Linked DNA regions of Mus musculus. The protein of the gene in region 4 interacts with the protein of the main gene of each other region in a pairwise test. Links are inferred from orthologs where the notes say so. Each region holds a gene or a part of one and is shown on either strand. Other genes may lie near its edges.

Evidence for each region.
Region 1: the proteins of Klhl12 (region 4) and Bag6 interact in binary tests that used the Homo sapiens proteins (3 or more experiments, as listed by UniProt). The two-hybrid records come from large-scale screens. The link is inferred for Mus musculus from reciprocal best matches to the Homo sapiens genes KLHL12 and BAG6.
Region 2: the proteins of Klhl12 (region 4) and Prr13 interact in binary tests that used the Homo sapiens proteins (3 or more experiments, as listed by UniProt). The two-hybrid records come from large-scale screens. The link is inferred for Mus musculus from reciprocal best matches to the Homo sapiens genes KLHL12 and PRR13.
Region 3: the proteins of Klhl12 (region 4) and Flna interact in binary tests that used the Homo sapiens proteins (3 or more experiments, as listed by UniProt). The two-hybrid records come from large-scale screens. The link is inferred for Mus musculus from reciprocal best matches to the Homo sapiens genes KLHL12 and FLNA.
Region 5: the proteins of Klhl12 (region 4) and Dvl3 interact in binary tests that used the Homo sapiens proteins (3 or more experiments, as listed by UniProt). The two-hybrid records come from large-scale screens. The link is inferred for Mus musculus from reciprocal best matches to the Homo sapiens genes KLHL12 and DVL3.
Region 6: the proteins of Klhl12 (region 4) and Pdgfrb interact in binary tests that used the Homo sapiens proteins (3 or more experiments, as listed by UniProt). The two-hybrid records come from large-scale screens. The link is inferred for Mus musculus from reciprocal best matches to the Homo sapiens genes KLHL12 and PDGFRB.
Region 7: the proteins of Klhl12 (region 4) and Inmt interact in binary tests that used the Homo sapiens proteins (3 or more experiments, as listed by UniProt). The two-hybrid records come from large-scale screens. The link is inferred for Mus musculus from reciprocal best matches to the Homo sapiens genes KLHL12 and INMT.

Annotation. Positions count from the first base shown.
Region 1 is NC_000083.6:35,134,006-35,138,299, reverse strand, and holds the start of Bag6 (large proline-rich protein BAG6), read right to left. Parts: upstream 2,801-4,294; 5' UTR 2,782-2,800; coding exon of another isoform or gene 2,672-2,781; intron 2,653-2,671; exon of another isoform or gene 2,296-2,652; intron 2,186-2,295; coding exon of another isoform or gene 2,173-2,185; coding exon 2,065-2,172; intron 1-2,064. UniProt on the Homo sapiens protein: ATP-independent molecular chaperone preventing the aggregation of misfolded and hydrophobic patches-containing proteins.
Region 2 is NC_000081.6:102,458,037-102,461,969, reverse strand, and holds the start of Prr13 (proline-rich protein 13), read right to left. Parts: upstream 2,801-3,933; 5' UTR 2,715-2,800; intron 2,507-2,714; exon of another isoform or gene 2,389-2,506; intron 1,863-2,388; 5' UTR 1,843-1,862; coding exon 1,824-1,842; intron 1,601-1,823; coding exon 1,251-1,600; intron 1-1,250. UniProt on the Homo sapiens protein: Negatively regulates TSP1 expression at the level of transcription. This down-regulation was shown to reduce taxane-induced apoptosis.
Region 3 is NC_000086.7:74,229,535-74,233,034, forward strand, and holds part of Flna (filamin-A), read right to left. Parts: intron 3,457-3,500; coding exon of another isoform or gene 3,433-3,456; intron 1,220-3,432; coding exon 972-1,219; intron 863-971; coding exon 767-862; intron 625-766; coding exon 522-624; intron 433-521; coding exon 292-432; intron 1-291. UniProt on the Homo sapiens protein: Promotes orthogonal branching of actin filaments and links actin filaments to membrane glycoproteins. Anchors various transmembrane proteins to the actin cytoskeleton and serves as a scaffold for a wide range of cytoplasmic signaling proteins.
Region 4 is NC_000067.6:134,454,367-134,458,330, reverse strand, and holds the start of Klhl12 (kelch-like protein 12), read right to left. Parts: upstream 2,801-3,964; 5' UTR 2,666-2,800; intron 1-2,665. UniProt on the Homo sapiens protein: Substrate-specific adapter of a BCR (BTB-CUL3-RBX1) E3 ubiquitin ligase complex that acts as a negative regulator of Wnt signaling pathway and ER-Golgi transport.
Region 5 is NC_000082.6:20,523,486-20,526,985, reverse strand, and holds part of Dvl3 (segment polarity protein dishevelled homolog DVL-3), read right to left. Parts: coding exon 3,455-3,500; intron 3,335-3,454; coding exon 3,225-3,334; intron 3,047-3,224; coding exon 2,911-3,046; intron 2,735-2,910; coding exon 2,641-2,734; intron 2,468-2,640; coding exon 2,398-2,467; intron 1,348-2,397; coding exon 1,208-1,347; intron 1,081-1,207; coding exon 1,004-1,080; intron 898-1,003; coding exon 830-897; intron 720-829; coding exon 570-719; intron 38-569; coding exon 1-37. UniProt on the Homo sapiens protein: Involved in the signal transduction pathway mediated by multiple Wnt genes.
Region 6 is NC_000084.6:61,065,650-61,069,149, reverse strand, and holds part of Pdgfrb (platelet-derived growth factor receptor beta isoform 2 precursor), read right to left. Parts: intron 3,436-3,500; coding exon 3,243-3,435; intron 2,653-3,242; coding exon 2,537-2,652; intron 1,055-2,536; coding exon 931-1,054; intron 409-930; coding exon of another isoform or gene 406-408; coding exon 194-405; intron 1-193. UniProt on the Homo sapiens protein: Tyrosine-protein kinase that acts as a cell-surface receptor for homodimeric PDGFB and PDGFD and for heterodimers formed by PDGFA and PDGFB, and plays an essential role in the regulation of embryonic development, cell proliferation, survival, differentiation, chemotaxis and migration.
Region 7 is NC_000072.6:55,170,127-55,172,190, forward strand, and holds the end of Inmt (indolethylamine N-methyltransferase), read right to left. Parts: intron 1,152-2,064; coding exon 722-1,151; 3' UTR 501-721; downstream 1-500. UniProt on the Homo sapiens protein: Functions as a thioether S-methyltransferase and is active with a variety of thioethers and the corresponding selenium and tellurium compounds, including 3-methylthiopropionaldehyde, dimethyl selenide, dimethyl telluride, 2-methylthioethylamine, 2-methylthioethanol, methyl-n-propyl sulfide and diethyl sulfide.

The DNA.
Region 1 (4,294 bases), on a different chromosome or scaffold from region 4:
ATGCCAACATCAAAATCAGACAGTCTCACTAGCCAACTATATCAACAGGCCGATATTTATTATGTCCATAAATAAATAAATAAATAAATAAATAAATAAAAGAGTGTGGCTAGAGAAATGGCTCGGTGATTAAGAGCTCATACTGGTCTTGCAGAGGACTCCAGTTCAATTTCCAACATCCACGTTGGGCAGCAGCTCACAACTACTGGTAAACACAGCTTTAGGAGACTCAGTGTCTCTGGCTTCTATGAGCGTTTGTACCCAGAGGCAGAGACACATACCAATACATAATTAAAAATAAGTGGGACGTGGTGTGTATGCCTCCAGCATTTGAGAGGCAGAAGCAGGTGGATCTCTTGTGAGTTTGAGGCCTGCCTGCTTTACGTAGTGAGTTCTAAAATAGTCAGACCAATGTACAGAGATTAAATTAATTTAAAAAAAAATCCAAATCACAACAACAGTAAATAACTAAAACCTATACGAAAGAAGCCGAATAGCTCTCCCTTTCTCCCTCTCTGCTATCCAGTATCTAGAGATACCAGTGATCCTTTTCTAAACTAAAACAATAGCAGGTGTTCAAGGCCATAATCTCAAAGCTGAATGCAGATAGACAGGCACTGGCACAGCCACTAATCTCAAGGATACAGAGCTAGGTGGATCTGACTACCAGGACAGCCATGACTGCAAAGTGAAACCCTGACTTAAAACACAAAATGAAGCAAGCAGGGCGTGGTGGCGCACGCCTTTAATCCCAGCACTCCGGAGGCAGAGGCAGGCGGATTTCTGAGTTCGAGGTTGTTACAACCATCTGTAACAAAGTAGGGGCTATAGTTTGGGGCTATAGTTTCCTAACTTCCACATGAAGAAAAGGCCACAGGTTGCAGAGTCTGACCTTCTCAGGCACCAAGTGCACACAAGGTGCACATGTGTATTTCCAGAGAAAGCACTCACATATAAAATAAAAACAAATACAATCTTCTAAAAGAAACCAAAAATACACACAACCCAAAACAACCATTACCACCATGGGGTTGGGAGGCAGGGTCTGGAAAGATAACTAACAAAGGTCAGAAAGGAACACACAATATACGGTTCAGTAGTAAGTGCTCTGTGCTAGGTCCAAGGTTCAGTACCCATCAGAACCACATACATGCAATAAATAAATAAATAAAAATAAGGGAAGGTGGAAAAAAAGAACAAACAAACCAAAAATAGCAATAGCATACAACTGAAATTCCAAGCTTGGAAAGCAGAGACAGGAGGATCATGAGTACAAGACCATCAGTTCTAAGACATTTCACTATGTAAGAAAAAAAGGACCAAGCCAAGTCAGATGTGGTCCTCTGTTATAGTGCATATAATCCTAGCACATAGACGACCACATAGACGACGAAGGCACAGTGGTCAGAGGCCAAAGTTAGCCTGGGCTATAGGAGATCCTGTGCCCACCTCCCGGAAAGACATTAAGTAATTCTTGGTAGGGCCAAATTAACTATCACATGTACCTACAGACAAAAGTCTATGTGGCTTTTTAAATATCTGCTTTAAAAACCACAAAAATGACCTCCTCATGGTGGTTGTCTCAAAGAATTATGCAGTGGCCACAGTGCACTAAGGTCAGGAGGCTCAAACCATGCCTCAGCTATTGACAAGTCTACTTCACAGTGGATGAAAGCAGGTTTCCTTAATCTTATAAAAATAGTACCAAGCTGTGAACACTCTGTTTAAAAAAAAAAAAAAAAAACCCACACCAAACTTGTCTGAGGTCCCTGTGACACACCATTCTTGTCCAAGGTGCCCCCTGTGTTGTGTCTGGTCCCAAAGGCCAGAGTCATGTCTGTCTCTTTGGGCTGGGGTCTGCACAGAACAGGTATAGATCCCTCCTCTCTACTTTCCTCTTCACTGAGTTCTGTCAAAGTGAAGACAGACTCCAAATCGGCCTCACTCAACAGTAACCACATCCCCTCACTCAATAGGTACATCAGATGTCCTATCCAGTAAGGGACAAAAGAGTCAATGACAAGAAAATCAGGCGCATCCTTCTACAAAGTACTGGTGTCTCACCTGGGCCCCCACAATAAAAGTCCGAGTCTGAGAGTCCAGGGTCTTCACCAGTACCTCCAGGCTGTCAGGCTCCTCCATAGCGGTACTGGCACTATCACTCGGCTCCATGGCCGACAGCTCTCTAAAGAAGAACGAGGGGGGGGGGTTCGCTGTCGGTCGCACTGTATTTTATACACCCGGAAGCCTCTCTGGACCCAATCTCCGCCCCAATCCCTTCAAAGTTTCTCATACACAAGCAGATATATTCATCCTCCTTCTCATCCCCCCTTTTTGATTCGGGGGCACAGGAACAGAAACACAAAGGGTAGGAGATCGACGGCATAGGGAGATGAAGGACGAGAGGTGGGAGGGGCTCCACCATGCCAATCACAATAGGGAGAGCCAGTTGGGCTAGGAATCAGGGAAGCAAGCACGAGACCGACCAGAGGCCAGTGTCATCACCGGTCGCGACCGAGCAAGCGCCCGAGAGATCGGGAAATCCTAGGACAACGCGAGGGGTGGGGGGAGGGTCGCGCTAGACTCGGCAGAGAAAAGTGGCTTCGCGCACGCGCAGCACCACAATCGAACCCGCCTAAATCACCACCGACCCAAGACCGCGGACACTCACGGGAGGCTGGACGGGCTCGCTGACCGCCCCCGCCTTCCGCCTCCGCCTCTCCTCGGTATTCCAGCAACACGACTTAACCAACACGCGACCAAACACATACAAACACACATACACAGCCCACCACCCTGTGGCTCCGCCCCCGACGTCCCCACGGTACCGTCACTTCCGGTCTCCCCCAACCTGGCACCAAGGGCCACTTCCGTTTCCCCGATCGTATTTGGGGGGATCTCGAGGCGGTACTTCCGGCTCCCCCAGTCTCCCCCGATTTACTTTCGTGGGGCACGATGAGAAAGTCCACAGCCCCGAACAGTGAGTTTCTGGGGGGCGAGACGGGCCCGGGCCGGCCGAGATGGGAGGGAGCCGACCACCCGGAGGAGCCGCCGCCGCCGCCGTCGTCGCCCGGGGGACCGCACTGCGCCTGCGTGAGCGGCGCCACGCGTGCGCACACTCTAAGTACTTCCCCGCCCCCCTCCGGCTATGTGCGTTTCTTCCCTGCGCGCGCCAGAGTGCAACCGGACCGGGGTGGCTACTGGAAACGCCTAAAGAAAAATGACTGAGTGAGATGCTGTAATTTCCTCGAGAAAAATTGTGAGACTTGTGTGGAGTGCACCTCGTTAATCAACGTCCCATCTTGATGGTCAGAGACGTTTACAGGCACAATTCTAACTACCTAAAACTCTGCAAGACCTCTGGTCCTCCCATCATTTCTGTTCTTCCGGAAGCCACTCTTTTTCGTGGACGGCTGGTGGCGTTCCGCGGGCTGTGTTTGCTTGTGCCCGACTCTAGTTCCTGGCGGGATTAGGCCGGTTGGGCTCTTTGCAGACTTTGAGCATCCTGTTTATTGAGATCTCCGAGGGAGTGCCATGTTTAAGGATAAAAAAAAATTCTATTGCATTTTTTGGTTTTGAGACATTTCTGCTGCTTTTTAAGAGCTTTGTAGAAAAAAAGAAAGAAAAGAGAACGGGTGCCTTGCGGATCAGATTAAAGGACAAGACTTTAAGAAGGGACCAAGGGAATGGAGAGATGGCTCAAGAGATGAAGAGCACTGTCTGCTCTTCCAGAGGTCCTGAGTTCAATTCCCAGCAACTACATGGTGGCTCACAACCATCCGTAATGAGATCTGACACCCTCTTCTGGTGTGTCTGAAGACAGCGACAGTGTACTCACATACATAAAATAAATAAATCTTTAAAAAAGGAAAAGAAAAGCCGGGCGTGGTGGTGCACACCTTTAATCCCAGCACTTGGGAGGCAGAGGCAGGCGGATTTCTGAGTTCGAGGCCAGCCTGGTCTACAAAGTGAGTTCAAGGACAGCCAGGGCTACACAGAGAAACCCTGTCTCAAAAACAAACAAATAAAATAAAATAAATAAAATAAAATAAAATAAAATAGAAAAGAAAAGAAGGAAGAAAAAGAAAGGGGATTGAAAGGCCCACCGCCAAGGGAGTTGAACGGTTAAGTTTTTCTCTCTCTGCATTCTTCCCCACTTATTCTTAGATGCCAGTACTGATGAGACTTCCAGTAAGCATTGTATGATGAGACTTTTACATGCTGTCTCACTGTTACCCTGAATTGCCTGGAACTCATAAGGACAATGTTCCCCCCACCACCACCCAGTGCAGGG
Region 2 (3,933 bases), on a different chromosome or scaffold from region 4:
ATTGCCTTCCAACCAAGTTTCCACACCTAGCTAGGACCAGGAAAGTGGAGCAGGGTGTGGGAGGCTGCTGCTACCTTAATCATCCCTCCTTGTTTGTTTTAAGGAATGACAAACTAGCCAGGTGGTGGCGCACGCCTTTAAACCCAGAGGCAGAGGCCGGCGGATTTCTTGAGTTCAAGGCCAACCTGGTCTACAAAGTGAGTTCCAGGACAGCCAGGGCTATACAGAGAAACCCTGTGTTGAAAAAAAAAAAAAAAAAAAAAAAAAAAAAAGAATGACAAACTAGAATCTCTCTGCACCTCAGGGAGGGTAGGAACGGCCACCGTGTGGGCCATGCTGTATTTCTAAGTCCCACTAGGGGAAAAAGTGGGGAAGATGGCAGAGACAGACAGATGGCTGGAGAAATCCCATCCCAGGATCCACACAGACATACCTCCATCAACTACCGTAAAAAAAAAAAAAATGTTTTTAGACTCTCGGGGTACTCTCCCTGGTTAGTGTCTCATTTCCTTCCCTACTCCCCACATGTCTACCTAAGACCCAGACTCAGGAACTAGAGCCCAGATCCACGGAGCAAACAAACACGGGCATAAAGTCTATTCGAAGCCTCAAGTTTCAGACTGAGGTCTTCCTGAGTCCTCAGGGGAACTCCCCCCCTCACTAATGGGTTCCTGTGGAAGGACTGTACTGGTCTTGTGAAGGAAAATCCCCTTTCACCCCAGGCTTTGCTGGAGGCTGAGTCACAGAAGGCTCGTCCAGGGAATTAACTCAGTACCAGGGAATACTGAAGGAGATAAAGAAAATCCAGGAACTAAGGGCCATATGACCACTCAGTAAACTATTATGCTTTGTCACTGTGCTTTGTCACTCTTTTGACATTTAGACAACCTCAGTGGGTGTGTCCAATTTACCAAAGGATACACCCGGGGTGGGTGAGGGAAGTTACTGGGAAAGAGTTAGGTAAAGAAGGTCGAGGGCTTTTGGCACAGAAATCCTCCCCGCACCCCTTCACTTTTCCTTGGCAGATGGGAGTGATCTGATGCCTCAATATTACTAAACTCCTTTCAGGAGGATCCCCTTACTTAAAGGAAAAACCATCTACATCTGCTAAAGCGACAAGGTTGCGGGCTACCGCTCCCACACACCATCGCCTGTGCCCACAAACCGTGAAAGTCCTTCCCCAACTCCTGATCACCCCTGGTCCCTCTGAACGGAGCTCCTTCCCCAGCCAGGCTCCAGATGACACTGACCTTCCCGTGCTTGTGATGCTTGTGCGACTTCTTATGAGCTTTCTTCATTTTCTTCCGAGTCTTCTTGTCTATCACGATTCCGGGACCCACCATGCCAGGAGCCGGAGGATTCACGGGGCACATGCCAGGAGCAGGTGGTGGGTATGGGGGAGGGTAGGGACCTGAGGGTTGGTATCCTGGACACCCTGGTTGTGGTACAGGATAAGGGGGACGACACGGAGGGAAAGCTGGGTTTCCCTGGGGAATTCCGGGAGGACAGGGGCCAGGGGGAAAGGCAGGATTGAGAGGTGGTGGACAGGCAGGATTGGAACCTCCTGGGCACACAACTTGGGGTGGATATGGATTCGGTCCTGGAAGAAGAATCCGAGAATAAAGATTAGAACTGTCCGGAACCTCTATCAACACATAATACAAATCACTACCGTTCTTAAGCCTTATGGAAAGGCAGAACTTGGTAACTAGCAGTGGTCCGGTGGCTTTGCTTTTGCTTGGGGCTGCGGGGATAGATAGAAACTTCCTGTTTCATTGCAAAATGGGCTGGGGCAGGTCAGAGGAGAGCCCCCAGGAACTTACCAGCATTAGGATTCCACATGTCGAGATGTTAGCTCAAGCCTAGGAAGTAAACCAGGCAAAGTCTGAAGGTTCCAGGAAGGGAGGAGGATTTTCGAGAACCCGAGCCCCACCCTACAGCCTCCACCCTACCAAGACTCTCACAGATAAACCTCCACTTAAAAATGGGCTGCACTCTGGAAACAGAGGCAGGTGGATCTCTGAGTTCCAGACCAGCCTGGTCGAAAAAGAGTTACAGGACAGCTAGAGCTACCCTGTGTCAAACCCAAAACAAAAGGAAATGAAAAAAAGTTCCCTGCTGGGCGTGGGGGTGCACACCTTTAATACCAGCACTTGGGAGGCAGAGGCAGGCGAATGAGGCCAGCCTGGTCTACAAAGTAAGTTCCAGGACAGCTGGAGCTATACAGAGAAACCCTGTCTCGAAATAACAAAAACAAACAAACAAACAAAAACAAAACAAAAAAAAAAGTTCCCTTTTTCTTTCCCGCATCCTCATAGCCTACTCTAGCCCAGGATTTAAATCACAGGAACTCTCTTCCCAGGGCCCCTCCCACTTTCACTATCTCACCTGGATGGAGAAGTCTCATTTCCCTCTCCCTGGAAAGGGACCGGAGGCCTTTAAGCATCCGTAGTGTGAGATGGGACCTAAACTCCCTGCTCGCCCCGGGGGCACCCCTGAAGTGAAGCTAAAATAAACAAATAAATAAAAATAAATAAATAAACAAACAAATAATCCCATCCTGAATATCAAGAAAGACACTCCAGGTCCCAAAACTCTTAGAACACACACACAACCCCCAAAGAGCAAATGGAGTTCTTAGTTCTCAGGAATAAATGGATCCCTGGCCCAGCTAAGAGGAGAGATGGAATTTGGGAGGCCAGATGCCCTGTCACCTTCCCAGATCGCCAGCCCGCTCCTGTCCTCCTTCTCAGTCTGGGTTCGCACTTCCTGGTCACTCCTATTCATTCTATACTTCCGCACCGCCCCTGTGACCTAGTTAATAATTATGTGATCACTTTGACACGATGATTGGAGAACTGACTTGTCAATCGCTGTGGTCCAACTAAACAAGGAGGAAACCGTTGCGCTGGCCGCCAGGCGGAGCCTTAGGGAGAAAACATTGCGTTGTGAAATACATACAGGTGAAATACGGAGACGCAGCGGAAATGCTCCTTAGGGCGGGACCGAGGCGGGGTCAGCTCCAAGCAAGGACCTGAGCCAACGAGATAAACTCTCACTGTTTTTTTTTGTTGTTGTTTTGCTTAAATTTTAAGATTTTTTTTTTTAATGTGTATGAGTGTTTTGCCTCAGTGTATGTGCACCAAGTGCCTGCTTGATGGGTAGACTTGTCTGTAACCTAGCATTTTGGAAATGGAGGAAGAGAATCAGAATTTAAAGACAATATTAGCTTCTTAGGGAACCCTACATAAAACCTCAGAGAGAGCTCTGTCATGATGGCACAACACCTTTAGTCCCTGAACTCAGGAGGCAGAGGCAGGTGAATCTCTGAGTTTGAAACCAGCATGGTCTGCATAGTGAGTTCCAAGACAGCCAGAGCCACACAGACCAGCCCTGTCTCTGACTCGGAAAATAACAACAAAAACAAACAAACAAAAAAAGGCCTCAGAGAACAAAAGGAGGAAGTTCTGCTGAGTCCCAGCCCTGGGCTTCAATGTTGCCAGCTGCTAGAACCACAGCCTGTGGTTCTTTTTTTGTAGAAAGATAAGAGACAGGGTTTCAATGTGTTCAGCAGATGGTGCAGTTATAGTTTCATGTCATTGTTCTGGGTAACTAAGTGAATTCATTTTTGGTTTTGATGTTTTTGAGACAATCTACCAGTATGACTTGGGTTGACTTTGGATGAAAAGCAGTCATCCCATATCTCTCTCTCTCTCTCTCTCTCTCTCTCTCTCTCTCTCTCTCGGGTGCTAGAAAAACAAAAGCAAGCCACAACTCTCAGAATTTTTTTTTTTTGGTTTTTCGAGACAGAGTTTCTCTGTATAGCCCTGGCTGTCCTGGAACTCACTTTGTAGACCAGGCTGGCCTCGAACTCAGAAATCCACCTGCCTCTGCCTCCCGAGTGCTAGGGTTAAAGGTGTGGGCCACCAAGCC
Region 3 (3,500 bases), on a different chromosome or scaffold from region 4:
GAATACCAGACTCATTCATTTGTTAGTCATTTTGGTTCTGTTTTTGAAACAGGGTCTTTATGTTTCTCTGGCTGGCTTTGAACTTACTATGAAGCTAAGGATGACCTTGAACCACTGATCCTCCTGCCTCGAGGGCTATGATTACAGGCATGTGCCATGATACCTAGTTTATTCAGAGCCTGATGCATGCTAGGCTCTACTAACTGACCTATAACCCAGCCCTAGCCTGTTCTTCCTGAGATGATAGCAACACGGGCCTAGGATGGAGTGGACAAGAGGCAATACACCCACCTGGGATATGCATATTGTCATAGCGAATGTCCATTTCATGCAGGCCAGCTTCACTGGGTGAGTAACGTACAGTAACAGTGCCATCTTTGTTATCAGTAATGGAAGGCTGGGCCACCTTGCCTGAGGGCATTCGAACTTCCCCTACAGAGCAGTGGTTTCAATGTCAGGCCAGGAGATTGGAACACCCTGGCCATCACTAGTTTCCAAGTTTCTTCCTAGCCCTCACTCACCAGTGATCTCCCCCTTCTTGATAGTGAAGGGGATGACAAGATCAAAGGGCCTCAGGCTGGTCACATCCAGCCCATTAACGCCCACCATGGGCCTCTCTGGAATCTGCAATAGAGACAGAAGAATCAGGTGAGGGGCTATGAGAAGATATGGGGTTTCTCAGGGCCACATGAGACATCCAGGTGGCCAGCTTCAAGTGTCCCTATGGGTTAGACAAATTGAATAATAGACCAGGCCCAGGCCTTACCCAGGTTTGCTGGCTACCCTGAGGATAGTTATACTGTGGAGCCAGCTGCTGAGACCTTAATGGGGTCTGCACTGTTGGTTGGTCCCCAGCCAAAGCCTGTGGGGCAAAGTGAGAGGGTTGGAGACTGTTGTCACAAAGGGACCTGGAAGGACAGGCTAGGACTTTCCCAGATCTCCCTGCCCACCCATCCTTGGCCTCTTCTCACTGTAACTTGGAAGGGGCTGTTGGGCACATGCTCGCCACCGAAGCGCACACAGATGACATATTTGCCCGGTTGGGGAGCTGTGTAGAAGATGTCAAAGGTGCCATCCTCATTCTCCACCACGTCCACGTCTACCTCTGAGCCATCAGGTGTGCACACAGTACAAGTCACTTTGCCTTTGCCTGCTGCTTTTGTGTCCACAGTAATCACCGTCTCCTCCCCAATCTGGATGGTGGGGCCAATGCCAGCACCTGGTAAAGCAGAGTGAATCCCCAGAGGGGAGCCAGCAGGTGAGCCGAACATTTTGGCTACCCCCATCAGCTTGCTACCCATCCAGGCCTCTTACTGCTACAACCAAGCACAGCCAGCCCCAATCTCTAGCCCAACCCATACCCCAAGCTACGATGGTGAGTGGTTTCTCAGAAGGCAGGAAGGATTCTCCTGACCACCTCAAGCCCCTTTATGAGAGAAGACCAACAAGTGGTACCCAGATACCTGGGAAGACAAGTAAGGGACCATCCAATCCCAGCACAAGCATTTACTGCTACCTCCTCTGCCAACTCAGCCTCAGCTGGTATCATGGCCTATGCTAACTTATACCGGCACTCTGGCCAGGCCCATGGCTACCTACACCCGTGGTCTGGCCCTGGGCCCCAGTGCTATGTGTGGATGAAGTGAGGCAGAGTCCTGCTGCAGTGTGGGGGATGTGAAACTTTCCTCCCTACCCAACCCCGAGGCCTGAAGGTGAAACTGGAGTCTCCTGACAACTGAGAACGCTTGCTCAACCAGAGGCTTGCAATGAGAGGCAGCATAGCACAGCCTGGCACAGGCAAGAGCAAGCAGCAGGGAAGTAGAAGGGTTAGCAGTGCATCACAGCAGGCTTGGCAAAGCAGTGGCAGCACCCAAGGAACAGGAGACAGGAGTCCCAAGCCACCACTGCAGGGTTGCAAGGGTAGAGCATCTGAGCAGCCTCTAGGGCCCCATAGTGCCCAAGAAAAGAGAAAGGACAGTAATGTTATGATCTGGGGCTCAGCTGTGGAGGCTTGGGAGCTGTGGATTGTAAGGCCTGGCAGCCAGAGCACCCCTGCAGCCCAGCCTCCCACAAGGAAAGCAGCTAGGAACACCAAACTTATATGAGGACCAAGTTTAAGGGGCCCCCTTGCCAGCCTGCCACCAAGCCCCCTTTTCGACCTTGGTCTCACACTGGCTACATGAGACTCAGATAGCAACTTCAGCTATTACCCTAGTTGCCTGCTGCCCATGCTGCCATGAACTTCCTTTATGCCTGCCCTGTATCATCTAGCTAATGATTTGGGCCTTCTGAAAGCTTCTTGATTTCTCATTTCTGTACCCAAGCTCCAGGTGATCAGCAAGTCTTGACCATAGCATCCTCAAAGTACACCTGCTAATTGGGCTACTGCTTAATGTCCCAATAGCCACTGACCGGGCCCAAGACAACCTTCTGGCTTACCCAAAGATGATTTAAGTTCCCTGGCTGGGCGCCCTGACTCCATTCCACACATAATGGCCAAGAAAATTGAGGCCACTCCAAGTTCCTGGCCTAATTCTGTCCTCCCCTGTGTACACATATATGCCATCTTCAACCCCATAAACTATTCTACAAAATAATCTAGCCTTTGCCACAAAAACCTAGCTATCTTAAATCCTGTCCTTGGCCATCTACCCAAATGCCTGTCTGATAGCCTTCAGAAGTCTGCAAGTAGTTGTAGTCTCATATCAGTATTCCTAGGATGTCTTTGTCTTAGGGCAGACAAACCTGCCTGATAGGGACTGTCTAACATCATTGCTGGGGGAATGGGAAGAAAGAAGGAAAAAAGATTGGTCGCAGAATGCACTTTGGAGCTCTGAGGCTGGGCCAGGCCCTGCCATGCTGGCCACCCAAGCAGTTGACACTGGCACTACTGTACCACCACCCAGCCCCACCCACTCATGCACCTCCCCCAGCCCAGGACACAGAGGCCCCTGGGAGGCGGGGATGGAAGTCTGTGGATCTGACAAGGGCTAGACTCCCAGTGGGTGGAGGAAACCACCTTGTCCCCTGAGCCCATGCAGGAGCCCATACAGGAGCCCTTGTGAGAAGGAAGCACCTGCTGCCCATCCCCAGGTGCTTCCCTGGGGTGCCAAGATCCCCAGACCCCAAAATCCCCATTGAGGTGCCTCCTAGGATATACTTCACCCCAAAGCTCTCAGCTGCAACCCAAGTTCTCAGATGGGGAAATGGAGGCCCAGAGAGGGGAGAACCAGAGCGCTCATGCTTAGCTCCAGAAACCTCCCTGGGCCCTGACCCTCCAGCCCACGGCCTTGTCTTCACAGCCTCCCCAACTCTGTCCTTGCCTAGAGCTGCAGCTGGAACTGTCCTGGGAATGAATTAGCAATGAAGAGGAAAGGAAACTGCCTCTCTGGGCAGTAGGGGCATTGGGAGTGGCCCCAGCAAGCAGCTTACCTAGCCCGTGACCTCCGATTGACACTGAGGTGAGAGGGCAGAGAGCAAGGAGAAAGGTCAGGTGAGTC
Region 4 (3,964 bases):
CACAAATACAGAGCACTTTTGACCCTGGCACCACCACAATCTGGCCAACACCGACCCCAGTAAAGGTTACCTCTTCTTTCTCCAAACTTAACATTCTATATCTTTGGATTCAACCCAGTAAAGAGCAAAATATTAAAAACTAAAGAACTGATTTTGAACATGTGCAGATTTTTATCATTTTTCCTAGTGAATACTATCTTAGCGTTATTACGCTGTGATAAAACATCGTGACCAAAAAGCAACCTGGGAGGAAAGGGTTATTTGTCTTACATATCCTGAGTCACAGTCTAGTGACTGGAACAGAGATGGGAACTAATATTCCAGGAGATAAGGTAGGGATGATGCTACAGGGTCAGGGTAGCTTACTGACTTGCTCCTCATGGCTTGCTCAATTTCCTTCTCTCTCTCTCTTGCTCAATTTCCTTTTCTTTCTTTTCTTCCTTCCTTCCTTTCTACTTTCTTTTCTTTGTTTTGATTTTGGTTTTTTTCTTTTTGAGACAGGGTTTCTCTGTGTAGTCCTGGCTGTCCTGGAACTTACTCTGTAGACCAGGCTGGCTTGGAACAGAGATCTGATTCCCTTTGCCTTCCAAGAGCTGGGGCTAAAGGTGTGCATCACCACCAATCAGCTAGCTCAGTCTACTTTCTTACAGAGGCCTGCAGTCCATGAATGGCACAGTGAGAGAAGCCCCTCCCGACCAATCACTAATTTAAAAAATGCCCTACCAGCTTAACTGCTTGCAGCCCAATCTTCTGCAGGCATTATCTTAATCAAGGCTCTCTCCTCTCAGATGACCATAGCTTTTGTCACAGATATAAAACTAGCCAACACAAATACAGTAAATAACTGTACTGTTTTAGATGTGATAAGTAATCCAGAACTTGTCTTGATAGGGTATGTAAGTGGTATATGCAAATACTATGCATTTAACTCTACATGACTTCAGAGCCAGGTGTGGTGGTATATGCAAGCCAAGCATTCAGGAGACAAAGGTAGATTTCTGCAAGTTGGAGCTCACCCTGGTCTACATAATGAGCTCCAGGCCAGCCAGGGCTCCATAAAGAGACTTTTGTTTCAAAGAAACAAAGTAAACAAAGAAGACCAGCACACTCAGATTTTGGTATCTATGTTTTGTTTTGTTTTTGTTTTTGTTTTTTTTTTTTGAGACAAGGTTTCTCTGGGTAGCCCCAGCTATCCTGAATCTTACTCTGTAGACTGGGCTGGCCTTGAACTCACAGAGATCCACCTGCCTCAGATTCTCCCTGGGATTTTCCTCCTCAGAACACTTTCTAGGGGATGCAATGAAGGTGCTTATGAAAACTGTCCTTTGAGGATGCAAAACTTTCTAAAATGAACCAAAGAAAAAAGAAACTATTCATCTAAAGTCTACAATCCTAATTTCCTAAGATTAAAACTGAGATTCTACATTGTCATCTTTTGTTCAGTAGCTCCTTCAAAAGGACTCTGGACACTCCCCCCCCCCCCCAAACTCTGCAACATGTATTTAACCAAAAACTGAGACAACTTGCTAAAGTAAATGCTTTTTGTTTTTAAAAGGTTTGCTTAAGCTAACATAGTTTCAAACTATGAGATGCAAGAAACTGGGGATTTGCTGAATTCTCAGGAGCTGAAGATTATGAAGATTTCCTAGTGTTCTAGCACAAGGCCCAGCCTGTGATTAAACTTTAAGATTTGTTTCATAAATGACAGTAACCTCAGGGCTGCAACTTTCCTCCTAGCACAAAGCCTGACCATATATTCACCATTCAAAAACTACACATTCTAGAACAGCTAATATGTAAATAGAGGGGTTCCATTCTAAATCATTCTAGAAGGAAGAAAAAAGGCAATGAGAGAGAGAGAGAGAGAGAGAGAGAGAGAGAGAGAGAGAGAGAGAGAGAGAGAGAGAGAAAGGAGTTCTCCCCTAAGAACACCAAGCTTACCATCAAGTATTAGGGAGACCTAGGTAGGCAAGGAGTTAGATATGCGGTAATCATGGAAGCTGCAACAGTATCTTGGTAGCTGTGTCTCCCGGTTAAGCAGGGACTACACTAAGGTTCCCATGGTCAAAATCTGTAAAACTGTATTTGGGATGTTCCACCAAGGCAAACGATACTTAACAAATTGCCAAAACCGCGTTAAAGGGTCTGCATTCTCAAAAGGCACTGGCTTCATTACAATGTGTTGGAGTTTCCAAATCTCCCACCCCATACCTTGCTTTTTTTTTTTTTTTTCAAGATTGCTGGGGATAAATGCCTTACAAGAGGAGGTGAAGACCACTATAATTTGGGAGGGAAAGGGAATTATCTTACCTTCATGCATGAATATACCTTACACCTCACTAATATTCTTAAGAAACTTCTTTAAAACCCCAATGCGCTACTGCCTACCTTCGGAGGAAGCCCACTCCAATCTTTGGAGTGTGTAGCTTTACTAAATAAACGTCCCCTTACTGTTTCTCAGCTGAATTCTTTCCTCCCAGGTTAAACCTTCTCCCGGGGCAGGCGGCAGCTGCTCCGGAGAAGCCGAGAAGGCAGCGCTATGCCTGCAGCGCCCCAGCTCATCTCCTACCGACCCGGGCTGGGGGGGGTACCCGGGTTGGGGGAAGGCCGCGCCCCCGGCTGAGGGCAGAGGGAAAGGCCGTGTGTCAGGGCCGCGCTCACTCACCAGGGCTCCTGGGCCGTCCGAGCCGAGGTGCTAGGCGCCGGGCTCCCAGGCGGCTGAGCAGCCGGAGCGCCGCCGCTGCCGCCCGGACCAGCCGCTGCGGAGCAGTCTCCGTGGTAAACTCCAGTCTCGGAGTACGGCGACCGCGCGGCATGATGACGTCACGCCACGGGAGGGGCGGGCCTCTCCTGGGTTACGTCACCTTAGGAGGCCGAGCCAAGAAGTCCTGCTTACCTGAGAGCTCAGAAAAAGAGACCTGAGAGTGGGTAGACGGGTGGGTGGGGAGTGCCGCGTGTGACAGTGCGCTGGAGGCCAGAAGGACCCAAGACTGGCGGTCCCCACGCGGTATGGCAGGCGCTAGGCTGCGTTCCTGCCACACTCGGGAGACCCACGGGGTTTCAGAGTTCTCTAGGTCGGTTTCTGAAGAATCAGGCTCCGCTTCACCATAGGGAGGACTTTCCCATCCCGGATAACCACAGGGTCCTAAATGTGCCTGTCACCATGAGGCGATTGCTTCCTTCACTCCAAGGAAAAGGAACTTGTGGATTGACTGAGCCACCAGAAATGGGTCGCAGTAGGGGAAACTGCAAAGACCCTTCTCAAAGAAGACGCCACAGCCATCTCCTCTCCTCTGACTCACCATGGTCGTTCATTAGTGCTGCGGTTCTTAGGACGTTTGCTTTTCGTTGATTTTGACTTTTTGCCTTTGGCTGAGAAGGGAAAGATGTTTCTTGTTCCAGTATAGATGAATGACTAATTGGATTATCCAGTTTTCCTTTGCACGGCGTTTGGTTCTTAGGGATAGTAAAGTGTAGTCAAGAGGGCAGCGTCTTCGTTTTACATAGTGTTTTCTTCGTGTCATAGCTTCTTGATCCCAAACTGTTCCTGACATTTAAATATGGTGGACAGAGTGCAGAATTGATAGAAAATGTTGAGGGCACTCTGGAAATAGTTGTTAAAATGATCAATGTAGATCTATTTTGTCTAGGTTTTGTAGTGTAGTCATCAGACTTCAGGGCAGGAATGCTTCCCCACCAAATCTGGACCCAGAACTACTACAGCAGATGAACTTAAGGTAGCTAGAACAGAAGCTAACGATCTTGGGCACCAGGCACATACATGGTGCTCATGTATACATGTAGGCAAACCATTTATGCACATAAAATCTTAAAATTACAAAACATATCTACTGGTTCTCCTGGTCTTCTCTGGCTACTTCTGCTTTTATATATGCATTTCCCCTAGTAACATCTTTGCCCTTTTTCTTTCATCTAGGCAAATGCTTTCCTGATGAGCAGAAAA
Region 5 (3,500 bases), on a different chromosome or scaffold from region 4:
ATGTCACTGTGGATGGAGAGGTGGAAATCATCTAGGCCTGGGGGAAGGGGCAGAGTAGTGAGACAAAGAGGCACTGTGGAGTTGGGAAAACAGGAGTGGCATCCTAGTTCTCCCACTCAACAGTGACAAGCCCAGTGTCAGCTCCTTGAACAGTTTTCCCTCCTGTAAAAGTGAATAGATTAGTGCCTTCACAAGGACACATGAGAATAACTCAATGACTTCATGCAGCTACCTAAGCACATGCACGACAGGAAAACCGAGGGGTTCCTCCATGCCACACAGTACCACTGAGTTAGAGCCTCTTGTCAAGCCCCAGAGAAGTCTGGCGAAGGATATACTGGTAGCCCCATTGTATGAGAGGAAACTGAGGCTCTGTGGGCGCTCACCGTACATTAAGAAGCAAACCATGTTCAGGGAGGCTGAGTGCCCTCTGGGGAAGGGCTGTGGAGTGAGGTCTCTGGAATGAGTAGAGCCCCCTCAAAGGCTCTCCCCGATGCACAAGCGGGTCCTCATCAATCCTCCCACCTGGCCTTGTCTGCCGGGTCCGAGGGACAGGCTTGGATACTCACGCTCTGTATCAGGGATGGAGCTGGTGATGGAGGAGCTGGTAGAGGTGATGGTGCTTAAGGAGGGGCTCATGCCATAGGCGGGGAAGGTGCCTGTCATGGCTGCCGTGTGAGAGACCCAGGCTGCAGGGTCAATGGGACGGATGGGCTCGCCTGCAGGGAGGGTGAGGAGTCACAGGCCGCCCATCCACGTAAGGAGAAGAGAGAAGGCGTAGAGCTTACACAGCCCACACCGACTTTACGGATGAGCCCTGTTTACTTACTCCGGGGTAATGTGAAGCAGCCGCGAGGACTTGGGTCCCAGCACTTGGCTACAGTCAGAGTGATGGGCCTGAAAACAAGGTTGTCCTCATAAAGGCAGGATGTATGAAGGCCAGACCAAGTCTCCGGCCAGAGACGCCTTTGCCCACCTTCCCTAGAACCCCATCCACTCATACCCTGGCTTGTGCACAATCTCCCGAAGGACTCGGACTGCGTCATCGTTGCTCATGTTCTCGAAGTTGATCTCATTTACCTGAGAAAGAGGGCTAGGAGTGAGGAAATGGAGTGCTCAGGAGATGGACAGGGGAGCTGGGTTGAGGGTTTCCCTCCAGACCACAGGAACTCCTTACTCTCCTCCCACCCAGGGTAGTCGACGATACCTGCAGTAGCATATCTCCTGGCTCAATGCGTCCATCAGCTGCCACAGCCCCACCCTTCATGATGGAGCCAATGTAGATGCCCCCATCACCTCGCTCATTGCTTTGGCCCACAATGGAGATGCCCAAGAAGTTATACTTTTCTGCAGGGAATAATTTAACACCTTGAGAAGGGTGGGGTTCCTACCCAAATTCCCAGCCCCTTGTTAGTACAGGGCAGAAAGGGGCAATAACTGACTGATATCACTGACCACATAAACATTACTGTACAGTGTACACGTTGACATGCTTTTAATTTCCCTACTGGTTGTGAGGCAGAGATTCTGAACACTTTACACATAGGTAAGACCTAAGCGACCTTTCTAAGACAGCAAGCAGCAGGAAGTAAACTCAGATTTAAGTTCCAAGTTAAAGTTCTTCCAGTTATATTTAGCTGCCTTTACATTTTTTAAAACCACATTCTTTTTTTTTTTTTTTTTTGGGTTTATTTTTTTTTCAAGACAGGGTTTCTCTGTGTAGCCCTGACTGTCCTGGAACTCACTCTGTAAACCAGGCTGGCCTTGAACTCAGAAATCCGCCTGCCTCTGCCTTCCAAGTGCTGGGATTAAAGGCGTGCGCCACCACCGCCCGGCTAAAATCACATTCTTATCTATTTGTTTTGTTGTAGAAGGCACTCATGTGTGTGTGTGTCTCTGTCTCTGTCTCTCTGTGTGTGTGTGTGTTTGTGTGTGTATAGTTCAGGGGGCAACTAGTAGGAGTCAACTTCTCCTTTTACCATGCAGGTTCTAGGGGTTGAACTCCAGTCATCAGGCTGGGTGGCAGGCCCACCTGCTGAGCCATCTTACCAGGCACTAGCTGTGTTTTAAAAAGTCAGAAGTCAGAGAGTACAGATGTATGTAATGGCAAGGTGAGCAGGGACTCCTCCCCCAGGAAGCCTCCCAGGGTGCCATGCTCTGTTCTCACAGTTTGGTTTACCTGTTACAGCTCTGACTCTGAAATACTGAAATGGTTACATGATGTCTCAGTCAGTATTTACAGAGCATAACTGCAGAAGAGGAAACATATCTTTTTCTCCCTGTATTGCATATGGAACCCAGAGCCTTGTACTATACTGCTGAGCTCCCACTCCAAACCCCAGAACACGTATGTTGTCTTTCCCAGCATGGGCATTTGGCAGTGTCCCCCAGACTCACCCATGTTGAGAGTGACGGTGATGATGTTGAGAGACATAGTGGAGTCTGTGATGCTGCTGAAAGACGAGGACTGGAAGAGAGGGTGTCTGTGAGCAGCAGGGGGTACAGGGGGTGGGGAGGAGGGGTCCCACAAACACTGAACCGAGCAGAAGGGCTCTGAAGAAGAAAAGAGCTGTGGTCCTGCCTAGGAAGGACTCACAGTCTAACCTCCTGCTCAGTCCCTGAACATCCGAGAGCCCATACCCGCTCAATCCGGGAGACCTTCTGCTTCCGCCGCCGCCGCTTGTGTCTTCTCATGAGGCGTGAGGCACTGCTCTGTTCTGTGGAGCTGCTGAACCTGTGGGGTCCAAAGTCGTTCCCCACCAGGCTGGCCCATCCTTGCCTCATAAAAGGCACAGTAGAGCCCTGGTCCCCTCACAATGGCCACATCCCACCAGCGGTGAAGAACCAGCTGCCTCATTGGTCACTTCCCGCCTCACTCCCATCCCTGTACCTAGGAAAATCAAACCCCACCTGCTGGTGGAATCATCCTCATCGGAATCAAAGAAACTGGTAGTCTCCAGCTCGCTGCTCATGAGGGTAGATGAACTGTCATAGCCGCCTGGCTCCCGTCGCCGCTCACCCTTTGTGGTTCCATTGAGTCGGGCTGCTGCAAGGGAGATAGGCAGCTGGGTCCATACAAGGCTCAATGCAGGGAACAAGGGATATGAGGCAGGCAAGCCAGGGCCTGAACAGGGCCCAGGCATAGCCATAACTCGGGAAGTAGGGTAAAGAGGCGGGAAGCTAGCTGGAATCTGCCGAGAGGAGCTGGAAGTGGGCATACACACCGTGCTCCGGGCCATCCCTCCGTCGGGGCCGCTCTCGTTGGGCAGACACCAAGGAGTCGGTCTCCGTGTCATTGTCCAGATTCTCCTGGCTGCCCCCACTAGCATGAGGGCTAAAGGGTAGAGAGGACTTGGTGGAGAAGAGAGAAGGCTGGGGGCTCCCTTCCCCAGCCCTGGGTTGAACTGAGCTGCCCTTTGCTCATGGGCCATTCCCACCTTCAAGACACACTTACTGGAAGGAGGGGGGTCGAGAGTCCCCAATGCCTCCTGTGCGTTCCA
Region 6 (3,500 bases), on a different chromosome or scaffold from region 4:
AGTTGTGTTTGTGCACCTGGGCCGACGTCATATTTTGCGTGTGTGCATAGGAACGTACTCTGGTAGGTTTTTGTAATGTTCCCATGGGCTTGTGAGTATGCCGACTTGGCCTGCTTTGGGGATTCAGGCTCAGTACGGCGGGATCAAGGAAGGGGTGAGAGTCATCAGAGCCATCCACAGGTGGGGCACTCACAATGTGGGACCACGGTGACCTCCTGCGAATCTCCACCCATGGAGTTCTGCAGCATGCAGCGTACGGACAGTGGCTGATCCACGTGGCGCAGGCGCAGTGTGCTCACCACCTCGTATTCCTGATCTTCCTCCCAGAAAGTCACATTCGTTTCTAGCTGGCTCTCCTCCTTGGAACTATTCCCCAAGGGTGTGGGTGACAGTTTTCGTGGACACCTACTAGGAAACACAAAAGGACTGGCTTGCAGGCTCTCTTAATTTCCCCTCTGCAAATGAGGGAAAGTAAGACTTGAAGCAGGGTCCAAAGAATAGGCTTGATTTCCCAGTGCTTGCTCCTTAAGCAGGTTCCTACTGTGCTGCCTAGATCAACCAGCAGAGGGCGCTCCCACTCTAGAACTGAGACTCCTAAACGGCAAAATTTGCCTATTGGACCTTCAAGGATAGAAAGGCAAACCCTGAACTCTATACACTATATTACATCTAGCTCTGGTCAAAGGTACAAAACATTCACTGGGTGAATTAGACACCTCTGGGAGCCAGACCCTGCTCCTTCCTGGGTTGAGGATGGCTCAGTAAGAAAAGGAGAAATTTAGGTTAGTCACGGTATCTCCCGGAAGGCAGAGGACTGGTCTAAGATGTGGCTTAGACCTCTCAGGTGCAGAGGCCGGTCTAGATTACCCTACCTGTGCATTCTAGGCAGCTGTGTCTATTGTGGGAGGCTTGGCGTCAAGGTGTGCTCACCTTTTGAGGTCTCTGCAGGTAGACCAGGTGACATTTGGCTGAGGCATGCCCCGGCCACGACAGCGGATTGTCTGCTCCCCATTGGCAGGGTGACTCTCACTCAGCTCCAGCACACGGACGGGGACTGGACAATCAGAGAGCAGGATCAGGAAGTGAGGTGATCAGAACAGAGCACTGGAAAGGCTGTCAGGAGGATGCCCTCCAGAGTGTCCTGTCCTCTTTGTCCTGACCTCCCTCCCCCCAGGCAGGGGATGGCAGGTGAGCCTCAGACACTAGGAGTCCCAGTGTGAAAGTGACAGGTTCCTTTGGGGCACATCAAAGGGCAAGGCTCAGAGTCAGTCTTTAACATCCCTCTGAGAACTGCTCTTCAAAGAGAGAACAGGCCAGGAGCCGGGGCAGCCAAGCCCATGAAGCTAGGCACTGTTTTGTTTTCTCTGAATGTATTTGAGTGTTTTTTATATTTATGGCATATGACACTGAGTTTCCATCTACAATTGAGATGCTAAATTTGTCTTTCAAAATACATTTATTTTTAGAAAGCGAATTGACAAAACATTAAGTGGTTATCATGTCCTTCTCTGCTCCAGTCCCTGTCATAGCCCTTCCTGTCAGTCCCAACAGAAGCCAAAGCCGCCTTGTATGGAGCTGTAGTCTATACCGAGCCACAAGCTCTTACCCAACGACTACCCCCTCCAACCCCTCCATTTCTGCCCTAACCTCATGCCCCCCCATATATGCCAGCGCCCTCTGATCTGGCCACACCCAACTTCCTCCTATTTCTCTGGCAATGTGACAAGGGGTGACACATGATCTGGAGTGTCCTTTCCACTAATACCCACTTGTCCAATGCCCTCCCTCCTTCAAGTCTCACAAATGTCACCTGCAGAACAAGGCTAACCCTGATCATCTATCTATCTATCTATCTATCTATCATCTATCTATAATTTATCTATTATCTATCCATCATCAGTCTATTATCTATCATCTTTGTATCTATCATTTACCTATCATCTTTCTATCATCTATCTATCAATCATCTATCTATTATCTATCTATCAATCATCTACATCCCCAGAGAGGGGATGTGCCAGATCAACTGCCTATCATTTAACTTATCTATTACCTATCTATTTATCTATCATCTATCTTATCTATCTATCTATCTATCTATCTATCCATCTATCTCCTTCCCCACCCACTACAGTTTCATGTTACTTTCTAACCTTTCTTCGTTTTCTGTGGAAACTCCTCCTTTTCTATTTCTCTTCCCCTATGAGGATGCAAATCATAGCAGGTAGAACTCTGAACAGACTGCCATATTGAAACCACTCAGCAGAGTAGAGATTGTGTGTGAGAAGTAAAATTGTACCATCAATACATAAATGGCCCAGATTTGGGGGCGCTCCAGTACAGTCTGACAGTCACCTTCTACATCTGGGGAAACTGAGGCCCAGAGAGGGAACATGCCAGATCAACCGTCTAAAATGTAGCCTCGTGGGTTCCGGGCCCTTTGTCCAGCCTCCCCTGTGGGTGGATGGGCAGAGAAGGAAGGAAGAGAGATGGAGGAGGGAGGGAGGGGAGAGAGGGAAAGGGAGGTGGCCCTTACCATTGACCTGCAGCTTGAAGGAGAGCTGGACCTCATCGTCCTCGTGGAAGGCTCGCATAGTATAGTAGCCCGCTTCTGACACCTTCACACGTACCAGGATCAGTTCTGACACGTACCTGCGGAGCAGGCCAGGCCAGGGGACCTGCGATCAGAACTGCAGGAACCCCTAAAGCATCCTCGCCTTCCTGTAGAATGCCAAGGGGAGGGATACCCTTGCCAAGGTCACGCAGCAAGGTCGCGCAAGGGATAACAGCAGAGTCAGGATCCACTCAGTCTCCTGAGTCCTCAGCCACGGCCAGTTCCCCTAAACTACCAGGAAGGCTTGGGAAGGGCCAGGGTGTATACCCATCTCTCAAAAGCTTATCCCCATCAGAGGGGCACATTCTTGCCTGTCTGCAGATCTCTAGCCTTGGGGAAATCCTCTTCCTATCCGGTGTTTTTGCTTTTGGCCATTACCTGCTGGTTCTGTTCATCACAAGGTTAACTAAACCTCTGAGTGGCCAAGTCGTCAGTGTCTGCTACCCCCACTAGGAGGAGCAGAGCAGCCTGCGTTGCTCCTGCAGGAGCATCATACCTAGTACCTGGCATGTGTCCATCACACAACAGGCTCTCAGACAAGAAGGTCCTAGGTTTGTTGGTGACTGAAGGCCCCAGGCTGCCTGGCAGCTTTGAAGCTTCCAACATAAGTGGACTAACTGGTGCTCACCGGGTCTCAGACATGTTGCGAGTAGACAAAACTAACTCGCCAGCGCCGGAGTCACCCAAGGTACGGTTGTCCTTGAGCCACAGGACAGAAGGCATCGGATAAGCCTCGAACACCACCCGCAGCGTCCGACTCCGGTGCAGCTCAGCAATTTCTACATCTCCCAGTGTCTCCAGCAGCCGCACGTAGCCATTCTCTGCGGAAGGTACAACAGTTAGGGGCGGGCCCTGTGGGCGGAGTTATGCCCAGACACCAATGCAT
Region 7 (2,064 bases), on a different chromosome or scaffold from region 4:
TAAATAACCATTGAAAACAGAAGCAAGCACTTTTCCTTAGCCAGAAAATACAATACTTCTGGGTCACTTGAACAGTCCCCCAGGCCTCCCACAGAAGGGTCAAGGAACCCGGAAGCTCTCCACCCCAGCTAGCACATTGCACACATTGACATCCCTGTTCTGAACCAGGGCATGGTGACCAGACTGACTGTGGTTGGCACCTGCAAGTCTGCTGAAGCTGCTGAGACAAGAGACCCTCAAGAGCTGCCTCTGGCCACTGTGAGGGAAGCTAGTAGGCATGGCTAGCTCCCTCAGTAGGTAGGTGACACCACCTGCGGGCCCCAACATTGGCCCCAGCTCCAGCTGCCTCAGAGGGAAGGGCTTTGCAGTACACAGAGCACCAGCCTTTCTCCTGGCCTCTGTCCTGTGCCAGCATTTGTGTTCATAGCACCTGCTCTTAGATAAATGTTTGTCAGCCAAACCCTTGTCTTTTGTTGAGAGAAGGCATCCCAAGACAGAATCCAGATAGGCCACTTTATTTTAAAATGAACTTTCAACAGGGTACAATAAGAGCAAAGGGGATGGATGTTGGTGCTGAAAATAGAGAACCTTGGGTTTTCCCTTGTGACTGTGACCAGGTATTAGATAGAAGCAACATGGTCCGTGTTAGAAAGCTGTGGAGCAAGGCTTTACAAATGATTGCTATAACTTTCCCAGGGAAGGCGATTCGCTGCCAGTGGCCTCAGGCACTGGGACCCTTCCGGGCCACCACAAAGCACAAACCGTCGTGGGAGCAGTAAGCCTCCGAGTAGCTGAGGGAGACGCAGTTGCACTTCAGCACCTGACAGCCAGCATCTTGAATAGCCTTCTCCACCACCTCCTTCTCTAGGTAGACCCCAGAGAACTTCTTGGGGCCCACCATATAGTGCTGGAAGCGCAGAGTAACCAGGGTCACCAGGTGCCCTCCTGGTTTCAGCAGGCCGGCCAGTCTGCGCAAGGCTGCCCGGTAGGTATCTATATCAGGGCAGGCACACTCCATGGCCAGAAAGGTCAGCACGCAGTCAGCCAGAGGCACCTGAGCTGACCCCAGCGGGGGTGTCTTGGTCACATCACACCTCAGGACACGAGTGACTGTCCTTCTGAGCTTGGCTTCCTTCTCCTGCCACCTGCTTCTGTGAGAAGGTCAGAGAGATGCTGTTATGGTCACAATCGAGAGCAGGACCACAATGAGCCGATGTAATAAGCGACAAAGGTCGCAGTCATGGAAAACCGCTTTTGTGGTACTTACGACTTTCTCTGGCCCCACAACCATCCTGCCATTTAATCTAATTGTCAACATGCCATGCGGCTGGAAACCAAGACACAAAGATGCTCACAGCCACCAGGGTTTGATTTTGCCCTCCTCTTTCACACCTCCCCTTCCTTCTTAAAATCATTTGGTCTTTTTGGTGGGTTTCGTTATTACTGTTTTTGTTTATGTGTATGTGTGTATATGTGCATGTGTGTGTGGAAATGTGCATGCAAATGTGTGTGTGTGTGTGTGTGTGTGTGTGTGTGTGTGTGTGTGTGTAGGCCAGAGTACAACCTCAGGTGTCATTCCTCTGGAGCTGACTCCTTTGTCTTCTTTTATTGACACAGTGGCTGAGGTGACCCACAGGGTTGCTACAGACTCCAGCATCTCCCAAGCTCCTAGGTGAGATTTCTCTGGTGATTGTCGCTGCTAGGGTAGCTCTGCCACCTGCTGCCCCGACTGGGTTTGACACTCTTCTCAGCTTGGTGTACTGAATAGTTCTTTTAAAGATGCAGGTCCTGAACTAATGAGATGACTCAGTGGGTAAAGGAGTTTGCTCCCAAGCAAGCCTCATAAGTGGAGTTCGATCCCAAGGACCGACATGTTGAGAGAACCAGTTCCCACAGGTTAACCTCTGACCTCCACACATCCATTGTGGAATGCATGCCAACACACACACACAGACACACACACACACACACACACATATAGACATTAACATACAAATGTATACTCTCACAAAGACATACATACATTCACACACACATACTCATGCTCCATGCATGCATAGTGCA